Linked DNA regions of Stegostoma tigrinum. The protein of the gene in region 1 interacts with the protein of each later gene in a pairwise test. Links are inferred from orthologs where the notes say so. Each region holds a gene or a part of one and is shown on either strand. Other genes may lie near its edges.

Region 1 (7,170 bases):
CTTTAAAACCTGCAGAGGATGACTATAAAAGCAAATGAAAGGAGAAAATGAAATTTGAGGTTAAGCTATCAAGTAGGATAAAATAATAAGAGAAACAAGAGTGGACATTGGATTACCAACAAATGTGGCTGGAGAAGTAGTAATGTGGAACAAAGAAAAGTAATAGGAATTAATTAGATATTTTGCATCAGCGTTCATGATGCAAGACATGGGTAGCATACCAGAACTTCAAGAGAGTCTACTGAGGTGAGAGTAGTGGCCAACTCTAAGGAGGTGTTGGAGAAGCTGAAAGGTCTGAAGATGTATAAATCTCCTGGACCGGATGGACTACACCCCAAAGTCATGAAGGATATTGTGAAGGTATTGCTGGTGATCTTTCAGGAATCACTGGAATCAGGGAGGGTCCCAGAGGATTGGAGAATGGCTAATGGAACATGCCTGTTTAAGAAGGGAGGGATGTAGAAGATAGGAAATTATAGGCTAGTTAGCCTGACTACAGACTTTGTTAAGATTTTACAGCATTTTTAAAAATGAGTTTGTGGAGTACTTGGAAGTGCATGGGTAAAAGAAGTTAGACAAAGGAGAGCCAGTGGATATGATCTGTTTGAATTTCCAAAAGATCTTTGACAAGGTGCTGCACAGGAGACTGCTAAATAAGAGCCTGTAGTGTTAGGGACAAGGTACTGATGTGGATAAAAGACTAACTGACTGGCAGAAAGCAAGATAAAGGAGTCTTTTTCAATATGGCATTCAGTGATTGGTGGATTCTGCAGGGATCAGTGTTGTGACCACAACTTTTCAAGTTATACATTAATGATCTAGATGAAGAAACTGAGGGCATTGTTGGTATGTTTGCCAATGATGCAAAGATAGGTGGAGGGACAGGTAGTGTTGAGGATGTGGGGTGGCTGCATAAGGACTTGGGCAAGACAGGAGAGTGTATTCCATCTGCCACTTCTTTTCTCAATGTGGGGAAAGTGAGAGGTTATACACTTTGGTAAGAAGAATAGGGACTATTTTCTAAATGGGAAAAGCCTTCAGGAATCTGAAGCACAAAAAGACTTAGGCTTCCTAGTTCAGGATTCTTCTAAGGTTAACAGTTCAGTTTGAAGGATGTCTGGCCTTGCAGGGGATCCAAAAGAGGTTTACAAAAATGATCCAGGTGTGAAGGGCTTGTTTTTGAGGTGGAGTTGAGGATTCTGGGTCTGTATTCCATGGAGTGTGGAAGGAAATGAGGAGCGTATCTCATCAAAACTTACAAAATTCTGAGAGGCCTGGATACAGTGGATGTGGAGATATTTCCACCGATAGGAGAGACTAGGACCTGAGAAAACAACCTCAAACTGAAGGGTCAAATTGTTTGAACTAAGATGAGGAGGAATTCCTTCAGCCAGAGGGTGGTGAATTCATGCAACACGTTGCAGTAGAAGGCTGTAGAGACCAAGTCATTGAGCGTATTTACGACAGGGATAGATAGGCTCTTGATTAGTGAGGGGATTGAGAGTTTGGGGAAGGCAGGAGAATGGAGTTGAGAAACATATCATGTACTGAATGGTGGAGCAAAAGCAATGGGCCGAATGGCCTAATTTTGCTTCAATGTCTTATCTTCTGTGCTTAAGATTTTGTCCATTACCCGGGAGTGAATACATTACTTCAAAGCCCTATTTGTGATTGTAGACCCCTTGTTGAGAAATTGAACTCTATTTATGCAATTTCATTTTTTATTCCTTTTGTAGTCTGGAGGCTAAGTGCTGGGGCAGAATGTGGTGAAAAGGCAGTAGTTTAGAATATTTTATTCCTATGAGTTTGCATTTTTCCAATTTATTCCTAAGAATCTGTGCCTAGGTACCAAGACACCTAAGATGGCACCGCCAAGTGCAGTATATGTAACAATAAAGCTAATTCTAATTCTGTGTAAGGTAGTAAACATGATAATTGATCAGGCTAATATTGAGCATTTGAACTTATTAGTCAAACTCCCACAGTATTACACTTGGACAATCAAGGGAAAAAGTATTCTTCAGGAAAAGCAGTTTGTTTACTTTTACATTTTGCCACTTTAAACTCCAATGTTTACAGTAACAATTGAACTATCCAATCTAAATTTGCATTACTGTATTTACAGTCTCATGAATGATTTTTGGTAGTATCCTAGATTATGAAGAAATTTGTTAGGATATTGTTAATTTGTGCTACAAATATGCATTTGTTTTCCCTCTGACCCTCAGATGACCAAAACAGTCTTGTAAAACATTGGAATCCTGTGACTTACCCAGAACTGTCAATATGAAAAATATCGTTATTAAGGTGACCTTTAAGGTGCACCGTCTGTTGCCAGATATTGACAAATGGCCACTGGTCCCAAATACAGGTTTACACCTGAGTAGCTTAAAAACCTTTAGTGTTGGAAATCTTCTTCGACATTGTCAAGTCTTTCCCTTTTTCAGATTTTTATTTCATTTCAGATAAATGATCCTTTGAACTTTTATCCTTAAAGTTCCAAATGAACTATCCTAAACGACTTCATTGTTTTTCCCTTTCCCTGCCGTTTGAAATTAGGATTTATTGCACAATTTACGTATAGTCGCTCAAGGAATTCAAACAACTGATTACACCGTGTTCACTTCGATCTACCGTCTGGAGATGTCTACATCTCCACGTTGCATGAATCAAAGACTGTGTAAATGGTTTAAGCAGTCTTCTCTTAAACCTTGATAGATCGGCCTGAGCATATTCTCAGGGGTTTTCTCAATGAGGAAGAAAGGGAGATGAACAGAAAATGAGTGCGATGTCGAGGAAGCCTCATTCTGAAGAAGGGTCATCGGACCGGTTAACTCCACTTTTTCTCTCCATAGATGCTGCCAGACCTGCTGAGTTTCTCCAGCAGCTTTTGTATCAGATTTCCAGCATCCGCAGTTCTTTGTTTTAAGGAGCCATCGTTGACGGGGTTTTAATACCAAACTCCCATCCTGAGAGAACAACTGGCCGTTAACACCAACGTCTCAGCTTCTCTTCCGGCGCACTCGCCTCAGACTGCGCATGCGGGCGGGGTGTAACCTGTGTTTCCGGGTCAGCCGGATGTGTTGGGATCACCAGTTCTTTGGAGGTCCTTGTCCGAGTCCGCAGTGGATTCGGTCCCTCCGCTTTTTCAGGATATGGGCGCAGAGAGCAGTGCGGCCCGGAGTTGCCGGCTCGAAGAGCCGCCGGTCACTCTGCCCGCCGGTCTCAGCGTCTATCGGGCGGTTCTGGAGGAAGAGCGGCTGGTGTCCGTGTTCATCTATCAGCGGGGCAACGAGGAGGCCGTCAACAAGGCAGCCAAGGTAGAGTGGCCCTAGGCGGCTTCTACCGCCCTGAGGGTGGGATGTGTGAGTAAGGATGTTTCTGCCCCAGCCCCAGCCTCTACCCTTACCCCAAAGTTTGGGATTGATTCCGCCCCGACCGTGGGAGGTCGGTGGGCAAGTGGTTCGATGCTGCCCCTCCACCTGTCCTGAGAGTTATGTTTTGGAGGGGGTGTGTCTTGCCCCTCGTGGAGGAGTAGGCTGAGAAAGACTCTACACTTGAAGTCAGAGATGTACAGCACGGCAATAGACCCTTTGGTTCAATTCATCCACGCCAACCAAATATCTTAAATTGATAGAGTACCGTTTGCCAGCATTTAGCCCATTTCCCTCTAAACCCATCATGTTCATATACTCATGCAGATGTCTTTCAAATGCTATAATTGTACCAGCCTGAACCATTCTAATCATACTTAATCCTTCCTTTGTGATCGCTAGGTCTTTTGCTGAGATATTTGCATCATCAGTAGCCACAGGTGACATGCTGAAAGACCCAATGGTTGGCTAACGTGATGCCATTATTTAGGAAAGGGGTTAAGGAAAAGCCAGGGAAATGTAGACTGGTGTGTCTGACATCAGTGATGGGCAAGTCTTCAGAGGTGATTCTGAGGGACAAAATTTACATGGATGAGGAAAGGTAAGGACTGATTAGACATAGTAAACATGGCTCTGTTCATGGGAAATCGTGTCTAACTAACTTGATTAAATTTTTGGAGAAGTGACAAAGAGGACTGATGGCAAAATGGCTTTTTTTCTATGTGGACTTCATTAAGGCCTCTGACAAGGAGCTGCATGGTAGACTGAGCAATAAGGTTAGATCACATGGAATACAGGGAGAATTAGCCATTTGGATACAGAACTGACTTGAAGGCAGGAGACAATGTGGTGGTGCTTTTTGGACTGGAGGCTTGTGACCAGCAGTGTGCTGCAAGGACTGATAGTGTGTCCACTGTTTTTTGTTATTTACATAAATGATTTGGATGTGCAGATAGGAGATATGGTTAGTTAGTTTGCAAATGACACCAAAGTTGGTGGTGTTGAGTACAGCAAAGAAGGTTGCCCCCATAGTACAATGGCACCTTAATCAGATGGGCTAAGGAGTGGCAGATGAAGTTTAACTTAGGTAAATGGGAGGTGCTGCATTTTGGTACGGCAAATCAGGGTGGGATTTATAAGGTCCTGGAGAGTCTTGATGAACAAAGAGACCTTGAAGTGCTGTTTCATAGTTCCTTGAAAGAGAAGTTACAGGTAGACAGGATAGTGGAAGAAAACATTTAGTAAGCTTGCTTTTATTGTTCATTGCATTGAGTTTAGGAGTTGGGAGATGATGCTTTGGCTATAAAGGACCTTGGTTAGGCCACTTTTGGAAGACTGCATTCAGTTCTAGTCTAGGATAATGAAGTGTGAAGCTGGATGAACACAGCAGGCCAAGCAGCATCTCAGGAGCACAAAAGCTGATGTTTCAGGCCTAGACCCTTCATCAGAGAGGGGGATGGGGTGAGGGTTCTGGAATAAATAGAGAGAGGGGGTGGCGGACCAAAGATGGAGAGAAAAGATGATAGGTGGAGAGGTAGGGAGGGGATAGGTCAGTCCAGGGAAGACGGACAGGTCGAGGAGGTGGGATGAGGCTGATAGGTAGGAAATGGAGGTGCGGCTTGGGGTGGGAGGAAGGGATGGTTGAGAGGAAGAACAGGTTAGGGAGGCAGAGACAGGCTGGGCTGGTTTTGGGATGCAGTGGGTGGAGGGGATGAGCTGGGCTGGGTGTGTGATACAGTGGGGGAAGGGGAGATTTTGAAGCTGAAGTCCACATTGATACCATTGGGCTGCAGGGTTCCCAAGCAGAATATGAGTTGCTGTTCCTGCAACCTTCGGGTGGCATCATTGTGGCACTGCAGGAGGCCCATGTTGGACATGTCGTCTGAGGAATGGGAGGGGGAGTTGAAATGGTTAGCGACTGGGAGGTGCAGTTGTTTATTGCGAACCGAGCGGAGGTGTTCTGCAAAGCAGTCCCCAAGCCTCCGCTTGGTTTCCCCAATGTAGAGGAAGCCACACCGTGTACAATAGATACAGTATACCACATTGGCAGATGTGCAGGTGAACCTCTGCTTAATATGGAAAGACCGCAACTTTCCCCCCACAGTGGTCGAGAACGCCCTTGACCGCGTCTCCCGCATTTCCCGCAACACATCCCTCACACCCCGCCCCCGTCACAACCGCCCAAAGAGGATCCCCCTCGTTCTCACACACCACCCCACCAACCTCCGGATACAACGCATCATCCTCTGACACTTCCGCCATCTACAATCCGACCCCACCACCCAAGACATTTTTCCATCCCCACCCTTGTCTCCTTTCCGGAGAGACCACTCTCTCCGTGACTCCCTTGTTCGCTCCACACTGCCCTCCAACCCCACCACACCCGGCACCTTCCCCTGCAACCGCAGGAAGTGCTACACTCACCCCCACACCTCCTCCCTCACCCCCACACCTCCTCCCTCACCCCCACACCTCCTCCCTCACCCCCACACCTCCTCCCTCACCCCCACACCTCCTCCCTCACCCCCACACCACCTCCCTCACCCCCACACCACCTCCCTCACCCCCACACCTCCTCCCTCACCCCCACACCTCCTCCCTCACCCCCACACCTCCTCCCTCACCCCCACACCTCCTCCCTCACCCCCACACCTCCTCCCTCACCCCCACACCTCCTCCCTCACCCCCACACCTCCTCCCTCACCCCCACACCTCCTCCCTCACCCCCACACCTCCTCCCTCACCCCCACACCTCCTCCCTCACCCCCACACCTCCTCCCTCACCCCCACACCTCCTCCCTCACCCCCACACCTCCTCCCTCACCCCCACACCTCCTCCCTCACCCCCACACCTCCTCCCTCACCCCCACACCTCCTCCCTCACCCCCACACCTCCTCCCTCACCCCCATCCCAGGCCCCAAGATGACTTTCCATATTAAGCAGAGGTTCACCTGCACATCTGCCAATGTGGTATACTGCATCCATTGTACCCGCTGTGGCTTCCTCTACATTGGGGAAACCAAGCAGAGGCTTGGGGACCGCTTTGCAGAACACCTCTGCTCGGTTCGCAATAAACAACTGCACCTCCCAGTCGCTAACCATTTCAACTCCCCCCTCCCATTCTTTAGATGACATGTCCATCATGGGGCTCCTGCAGTGTCACAATGATGCCACCCGAGGGTTGCAGGAACAGCAACTCATATTCCGCTTGGGAACCCTGCAGCCCAATGGTATCAATGTGGACTTCACCAGCTTCAAAATCTCCCCTTCCCCCACAGCATCGCAAAACCAGCCCAGCCTGTCTCTGCCTCCCTAACCTGTTCTTCCTCTCACTCATCCCTTCCTCCCACCTCAAGCCGCACCTCCATTTCCTACCTATCAGCCTCATCCCACCTCCTTGACCTGTCCGTCTTCCCTGGACTGACCAATCCCCTCCCTACCTCCCCACCAATACTCTCCTCTCCACCTATCATCTTTTCTCTCCATCTTTGGTCTGCCTCCCCCCCCCCCCCCCTCCCTATTTATTCCAGAACCCTCACCCCATCCCCCTCTCTGATGAAGGGTGTAGGCCCGAAACTTCAGCTTTTGTGCTCCTGAGATGCTGCTTGGCCTGCTGTGTTCATCCAGGTTCACACTTTATTATCCTGGATTCTCCAGTGTCTGCAGTTCCCATTATCTCTGATTCAGTTCTAGTCTCCTTGCTATAGGAAGGATACTGTTAAACTTGAAAGGGTTCAAAAATAATTTACAAGGATGTTCCCAGGGCTGGCGGGTTTGAGCAATAGGGAGAGGATG
Region 2 (7,286 bases), on another chromosome or scaffold:
GCAACCGGGTTGATTATTGGAGACACTCAACTGCTGTGTTTGAGGGAAGGGTCCGGCCTGAGCCCACATGTGACTCCAGACCCGCAGTGTGGCCTTGACTCTTAATTGCCCTTGGAGCAAGCCACTCAGTTCAAGGTGTTACTAGGAATTTATGGTAAATGCTGGGCTCAGTCAGTGATGCCAATATCCCAGGAAGAATGATAAATAATACAGAATCCTGGGAAAAAGAGACTCATGGAATCTCCACAGGGAGGAAGCAGGCCATTCCGGCCCATCGAGTCTACACTGACTGTCCAAAGACCATCCCACCTCTTGCCTTACCTGTAATCCTGCAATTCCCACGGCCAATCCACCCTAACCTGCACATCCCTGGGCACTACGGGACATTTAGCACGGCCAATCCACCCTAACCTGCACATCCCTGTGCACTGTGGGACAATTTAGCACAGCCAATCCACCCTAACCCGCACATCCCTGGGCACTATGGGGCAAGTTAGCACGGCCAATCCACCCAAACCCGCACATCCCTGGGCACTATGGGACAATTTAGCACGGCCAATCCACCCTAACCCGCACATCCCTGGGCACTATGGGACAATTTAGCACGGCCAATCCACCCTAACCTGCACATCCCTGGACACTATGGGACAATTTAGCACGGCCAATCCACCCTAACCTACACATCCCTGGACACTATGGGACAATTTAGCACGGCCAATCCACCCTAACCTGCACATCCCTGGGCACTATGGGACAATTTAGCACGGCCAATCCACCCTAACCTACACATCCCTAGGCACTATGGGACAATTTAGCACGGCCAATCCACCCTAACCTGCACATCCCTGGGCACTATGGAACAATTTAGCACGGCCAATCCACCCTAACCTGCACATCCCTGGGCACTATGGGACAATTTAGCACGGCCAATCCGCCCTAACCTGCACATCCCTGGGCACTATAGAACAATTTAGCACGGCCAATCCACACTAACCTGCACATCCCTGGGCACTATGGAACAATTTAGCACGGCCAATCCACCCTAACCTGTACATCCCTGTGCACTATGGGACAATTTAGCACGGCCAACCCACCCTAACCTGCTCATCCCTGGGCACGATTGGACAGTTTAGCACGGCCAATCCACCCTAACCCGCACATCCCTGGACACTATGGGACAATTTAGCACGGCCAATCCACCCTAACCTGTACATCCCTGTGCACTATGGGACAATTTAGCACGGCCAACCCACCCTAACCTGCTCATCCCTGGGCACTATGGGACAATTTAGCACGGCCAATCCACCCTAACCCGCACATCCCTGGGCACTACGGGACAATTTAGCACGGCCAATCCACCCTAACCCGCACATCCCTGGGCACTATGGGACAATTTAGCACGGCCAATCCCTCCCTAACCTGCACATCCCTGGGCACTATGGGACAATTTAGCACGGCCAATCCACCCTAACCCGCACATCCCCGGGCACTATGGGACAATTTAGCACGGCCAATCCACCCTAACCCGCACATCCCTGGGCACTATGGGACAATTTAGCACGGCCAATCCACCCTAACCCGCACATCCCTGGGACACTATGGGACAATTTAGCACGGCCAATCCACCCTAACCCGCACATCCCTGGGCACTGTGGGACAATTTAACACGGCTAATCCACCCTAACCTGCACATCCGTGGGCACTATGGGACAATTTAGCACGGCCAATCCACCCTAACCCGCACATCCCTGGGACACTATGGGACAATTTAGCACGGCCAATCCACCCTAACCCGCACATCCCTGGGCACTATGGGACAATTTAACACGGCCAATCCACCCTAACCTGCACATCCGTGGGCACTATGGGACAATTTAGCATGGCCAATCCACCCTAACCTGCACATCTTTGGACTGTGGGAGGAAACCGGAGCACCCGGAGGAAACCCACACAGACACGGGGAGAATGTGCAAACTCCACACAGACAGTCACCCAAGGGTGGGATCGAACCCGGGTCCCTGGCGCCGTGAGGCAGCAGAGAGCCTGTCCAGCATTGACCCTCAGAAGTCTGTGCCCACTGGAAAGGGATTCAAGGGAATCTAGTTTAGGTGAGGACCAGGAACCCAGACGTAGGGTGGTGTGAAAGGGTAGGGGAGGTTATTGACAGCAGTTGGCACTAAGAACTTAATAATATCAGTCCAAGCTAGGCAGCAGGAGGTGACGTGGGACCGTTAGTATTTGAGGGCAATTAAGCTGATGGGGCTGGCGGTGGAGCTCATGAGTGAAAAATCCCAAGCAAATTCTTTCAGAACAGCACCAAGGCAGTGCCCTCCCGCCCACAATGCTGCTCTGAATATCAGGTTCAATTTCTTGCTGAGTGTTTTGAGTCATTTCCTCTCACCTCCTCCACCCCACACTGACACTTCCCTCCAATTCAGGAGCAGTTAAATTTTGGCACCGCAAAGCAGGGCAGGACTTATACACTTAATGGTGAGGTCCTGGGGAGTGTCGCCAAACACCGAGACCTTGGAGTGCAGGTTCCTAGCTCCTTGAAAGTGGAGTTGCAGGTAGACAGGGCGGTGAAGAAGAAGGTGTTTGGGACGCTGGCCTTTATTGGTCAGTGCATTGAGTGTAGGAGCTGGGAGGGTCATGTTGCGGCTGTACAGGACATTGGTTAGGGCCACTTTTGGAATACTGTGTTCAATTCTGGTCTCCCTGCTACAGGAAGGATGTTGTGAAACTTGAAAAGGTTCAGAAAAGCATGAGGGGCATGGATAGGGTGAATAGCCAAGGTCTTTTTCCCCAGGGTAGGGGAGTCCACAACTAGAGGGGCATAGGTTTGAGGTGAGAGGGGGACAGGTTTAAAAGGGACCTAAAGGGCAACTTTTTCACACTGAGGGTGGTGCGTGTATGGAATGAGCTGCCAGAGGAAGTGGTGGGGGCTGGTACAATTACAACATTTAAAAGGCATCTGGATGGAGACATGAACTGGAAGGGTTTACAGGGATATGGGCCCAAATGCTGGCAAGATGGGACTGGATTAATTTAGGATATCTGGTTGGCATGGACGAGTTGGACCAAAGGGTCTGTGTCTGGGCTGCACATCTCTATGACACCATGACTGTAAGGGTATTTTTCTCCTGACTGGGCATCTGAGAAGCCAGAAATAAACTGGAGATTTGATCGTTGCTGTCATACAAAATATCTCCAGTTCATACATCTTCATTGATCAGTGACAACTCCCTCTACAAGGAGTCCCCTGTCAGCAGAACACTGAGATGCACCTGATTAAATAAAGGTGCAGGGTCCCTGCCCCAACCCCCTGTGACCTTAGCTGAAACCAGCCATCCCTCCTTCCCTGCTTCGCACACCCTGTATGGACTGCAGCAGTTCAAGAAGCCGGTTCGTCACCACCTTCTCCAGTGCAAATGGAGCCAGGCAATAAATGCCAACAAACCCCCAGACAAGTGAAGCACAATCCAGAATATCCCCTAAATATTTAGGCAATTATTTGACTTTGCAAAGGTTTATTTTTCCCATTGCATTTCTTTCCTCTCGCTCTGGCTCAGTCTGCATAAAATGTGCAGGCTGGTGTATTTTTTTACTTTGCAAAGGATATCTTCAGACATTGTGAACCTGTGACATTTGGGGCTATTTGATGGGAAGGGAAGGGTCTTGAAATAGCATCGTGCTTTAACGCAGGAGTGCCTCGGCTTGAGTTGCAGCCCAAGAGGAGGAGGAACGTGAGACCGGGCACGATCCTCCTGGGGCTCTGGACTCATCTGTCAATCAAGGCTCAGGGCCGGTGGGCGTGAGCCCGCCGGGAAGTGTAGTCTGCTTGTTTCGGAACGGTCGTAGAGAAGAGGTGGGAACTGGAACAGGGTGGACTACAAATCCCAGAAATCCCAGAGTGGCTTGTTCCAGCAAGGCGGCCGATGCGACGGCCAGGCTGTGGGCGGACGTGCGCAGGCGCATTACCGGCCGTCGTAGTCCCTCTCATTTTGAGACATAAACTAGAACGACGGGAAGAATGGGGGGCGAAGGACTACATACCCCGTCGTGCCTTGCGGGTCCACCGTCGCCGCGTAGGGTTGGAGGAAAGTGGAGGGGCGGAGACGAGGCGTGAAGGGGGTGGGGCACGGTCTATGCAGATAAGGGGGGGCGGGGATACATGTTAAGGAGGCTTGGCGCATCAGGGGACGGGATATGTAAAACAAAGGGGCGTGTCCATGCAAATGACGCCATGTGTTTAACGAAGGGGGTTCGGGAATGCTAATGCATATGGATGGCCGGGATGTACATATTGATGAAGCGGGCCGTTGAATATTGATGAGTCGCGCGCTGAGCGGCTGGCGGGAGGAGACTAACAGTCGGTTAAAAGGCGGTGACAGAGGGGTGTTGGGGGGTGGGGGCTGAGGGACAGACAGAGACACACACACACACACACACACAGCATCATGTCCCGGCCGCAGACCGACGTGGAGAGGAGGAAGCAGATCAGTGTGAGGGGCCTGGCCGGCGTGGAGAATGTCGCCGACCTGAAGAAGAACTTCAACCGGCACCTGCACTTCACGCTGGTGAAGGACCGCAATGTGGCGACCCCCCGCGACTACTACCTGGCGCTGGCCCACACCGTCCGGGACCACCTCGTCGGCCGCTGGATCCGCACCCAGCAGTACTACTATGAGAAGGACCCCAAGGTCAGCGGGGGCAGCGGGAGCGCGGGGGGCTGGGAGGGAGAGGACACCCGGGATGGGAGGTACGGGGTAATGGGAGGGGGATGATCCAGGGGATGGGGGGAGGAGGAGGAGGAGGATACAGGGGATGGGGGAGGAGGAGGAGGATACAGGGGATGGGGGAGGAGGAGGATACAGGGGGATGGGAGGAGGAGGAGGATACAGGGGATGGGGGAGGAGGAGGATACAGGGGATGGGGGAGGAGGAGGATACAGGGGATGGGGGAGGAGGAGGATACAGGGGATGGGGGGAGGAGGAGGAGGAGGATACAGGGGATGGGAGGAGGAGGATACAGGGGATGGGAGGAGGATACAGGGGTTGGGAGGAGGATACAGGGGATGAGGGGAGGATACAGGGGTTGGGAGGAGGATACAGGGGATGAGGGGAGGAGGAGGATACAGGGGGTGTGAGGAGGAGGATACAGGGGATGTGAGGAGGAGGAGGAGGGGGGGTTAATGGAAGGAAGGAGTGATCTGGCGTGGCTATAGAGGATACAGAGGAGGTGGATATGGAGGAGTATGGAAGAGACGATACTGAGAGGATATGGAGGAAGGGGGAGATGCAAAAGGGGGATATGGAATGGGAGGCAGGCAATGTGGAAGGGGTATATGGAGGAAGAGGGGGATTCAGAGGGAGAAGGGGGATATGAGGAGAGGAGGGGGAGGGGGATAGAGGATGGAGGCTGGGAATGGGGGATACAGAGGGGGTGGAGTGGAGAACATGGATATGGAAGGGGAGAAGGGTATGACGGGTCTGATATAGGGACATGAAATGGAAGAGGGTATCGATGGGAGGAGGTGGTGGGGAAGGGGGTATAGAAGAGCAGAGGTGTAGTGTGATGGGAGTTAGGCGTATGTGACAGTGGGTGAGGGTTCCTGGAATGGGAAGAAACAGGGCTTCTGTGCCTAGCAATACTATTTTTTTTGCTATTCATTTGTGGGATGTGGGTGTCGCTGCCTGGCCCAGCATTTGTTGCCTATCCCTAGTTGCCCTTAAGGTGGCGGTGAGCTGCCTTCTTGTTATGAAAGGACCCCAAGGTCACTGTTAGGGCAGAGATGGAGGAAGGTACATGATAGATATACAGTAAGCAGCACTATTATGAGAATGACTTTTGGAATACCGAAATACAAGGAGTGCTTAAATTCTGTTGGAGTTGGACTGAAAGGTCTGGTTCTGTGTTGTACATTTGACTCTATGACCCCATGGTGAGGAGATACCTGGGAGGGGTGAGAGCATGATGGTGGGAGGGGCAGTACAGAATGTTTTGGAGGACTCTGAAGACATTACAAGAAAGATCCCCCCTCCTTTCTGGGTATAGGGGAGCAGGGGGGGGTGGTCTGCAGTTAGCAATGCTATTATGAGACTGACTTCAAGTTTGGGGGGTAGCTGGGTGGGGGTTTGGTCGTGAGAGGGAGAACTGAGGTTATAGGGGTCTTTGAACAGCCAGACCAGTGTAGAATGATCCAAAGATGAGGAGGCACACGGCGAGGAATCTAGTACTGGGCCAGGTGGATCCACAGGTGGCAGTGTGTTATTGTGAGGAGTAAATGACACACAGGTAGGGGGCATTGGGGGAAGAGGTTACACACCTGACAGCACAGGTGAGGACTGATGGTCACTGTAGGGCGGTGTGATTGGTATGGTGATGGCGGGGTGGGAAAGCAGGCATTGGGTGATGGGCACTGGAGGGTAAATTCTGAACCTGCATGGTGGGGGTAGAATTCAATGCTGGGTACTGAAGAGGGAGGAGCTGGGTGGGTGATGAGTGTCGGTGTTATAGCATGGACACTGAGTTATGGGAGGAGAGAAATGAATGAAGGCGGGAGAACGTTAGGTGATGGATGAGACCCAGTCAAGAATGCAGGCCATGGGGGTAGTGATGACATTGCGTAATGTGGGCCTGATATGTCAGTGGGAGCTCTGCACAGAGAGTCATGCCAAATAGTGAGACCTGGAAGCTGGTGCCCAGGCACTAGCAATGTGCAGTGGAACCTGCATTCGAGGTCTTGAGATACCAAGAACTTCAGCGATGATGCCACGGTCAGTCACAAAATAATTGGGGCGAAGAATTACTTCTACCAATTGCTGAGGACAAACCTGTTATTATGTAACACTGGCGTATAGCCTGGATTGTGGCAGGGCTGCCACTGTATTACAATAGAGCCAATATTGGTGGGGATCGGGCTGCCCTATTACACTGGTAGTTGTCATTTGTGCCACAGAAACACCAGGCAATAACCAACTCCAATAAAAGACAATTTAACCATCACCCCTTGATATTCAAGGAGTTACCATTGACTGGAAAATCAACTTGAATTGCCGCATAAACACAGCAGCTACAAGGCGAAATCAGAAGCTAGGAATAGTGTGACGTGTAACTCCCCTCCTGATTCCTCAAAGCTGGTTCACGATCAGGCACAAGTCAGGAGTGTGAGGGAATATTCCCCACTTGCCCCTGGATGGGGGCAGTTCCAACAACGCTCAAGAAGCTTGACGCCATCCAGGACAGTGCAGCCTTTCTGATGAAGGGTCTAGGCCCGAAATGTCAGC

Evidence for each region.
Region 2: the proteins of 5'-AMP-activated protein kinase subunit beta-2-like (region 1) and glycogen phosphorylase, muscle form interact in binary tests that used the Homo sapiens proteins (3 or more experiments, as listed by UniProt). The link is inferred for Stegostoma tigrinum from reciprocal best matches to the Homo sapiens genes PRKAB2 and PYGM.

Annotation. Positions count from the first base shown.
Region 1 is NC_081361.1:47,764,362-47,771,531, forward strand, and holds the start of 5'-AMP-activated protein kinase subunit beta-2-like, read right to left. Parts: upstream 3,023-7,170; 5' UTR 2,273-3,022; intron 1-2,272. Other genes in the region: scyl3 (protein-associating with the carboxyl-terminal domain of ezrin), read left to right, coding at 3,156-3,320. UniProt on the Homo sapiens protein: Non-catalytic subunit of AMP-activated protein kinase (AMPK), an energy sensor protein kinase that plays a key role in regulating cellular energy metabolism.
Region 2 is NC_081395.1:11,084,774-11,092,059, reverse strand, and holds the start of glycogen phosphorylase, muscle form, read left to right. Parts: upstream 1-4,221; 5' UTR 4,222-4,457; coding exon 4,458-4,700; intron 4,701-7,286. UniProt on the Homo sapiens protein: Allosteric enzyme that catalyzes the rate-limiting step in glycogen catabolism, the phosphorolytic cleavage of glycogen to produce glucose-1-phosphate, and plays a central role in maintaining cellular and organismal glucose homeostasis.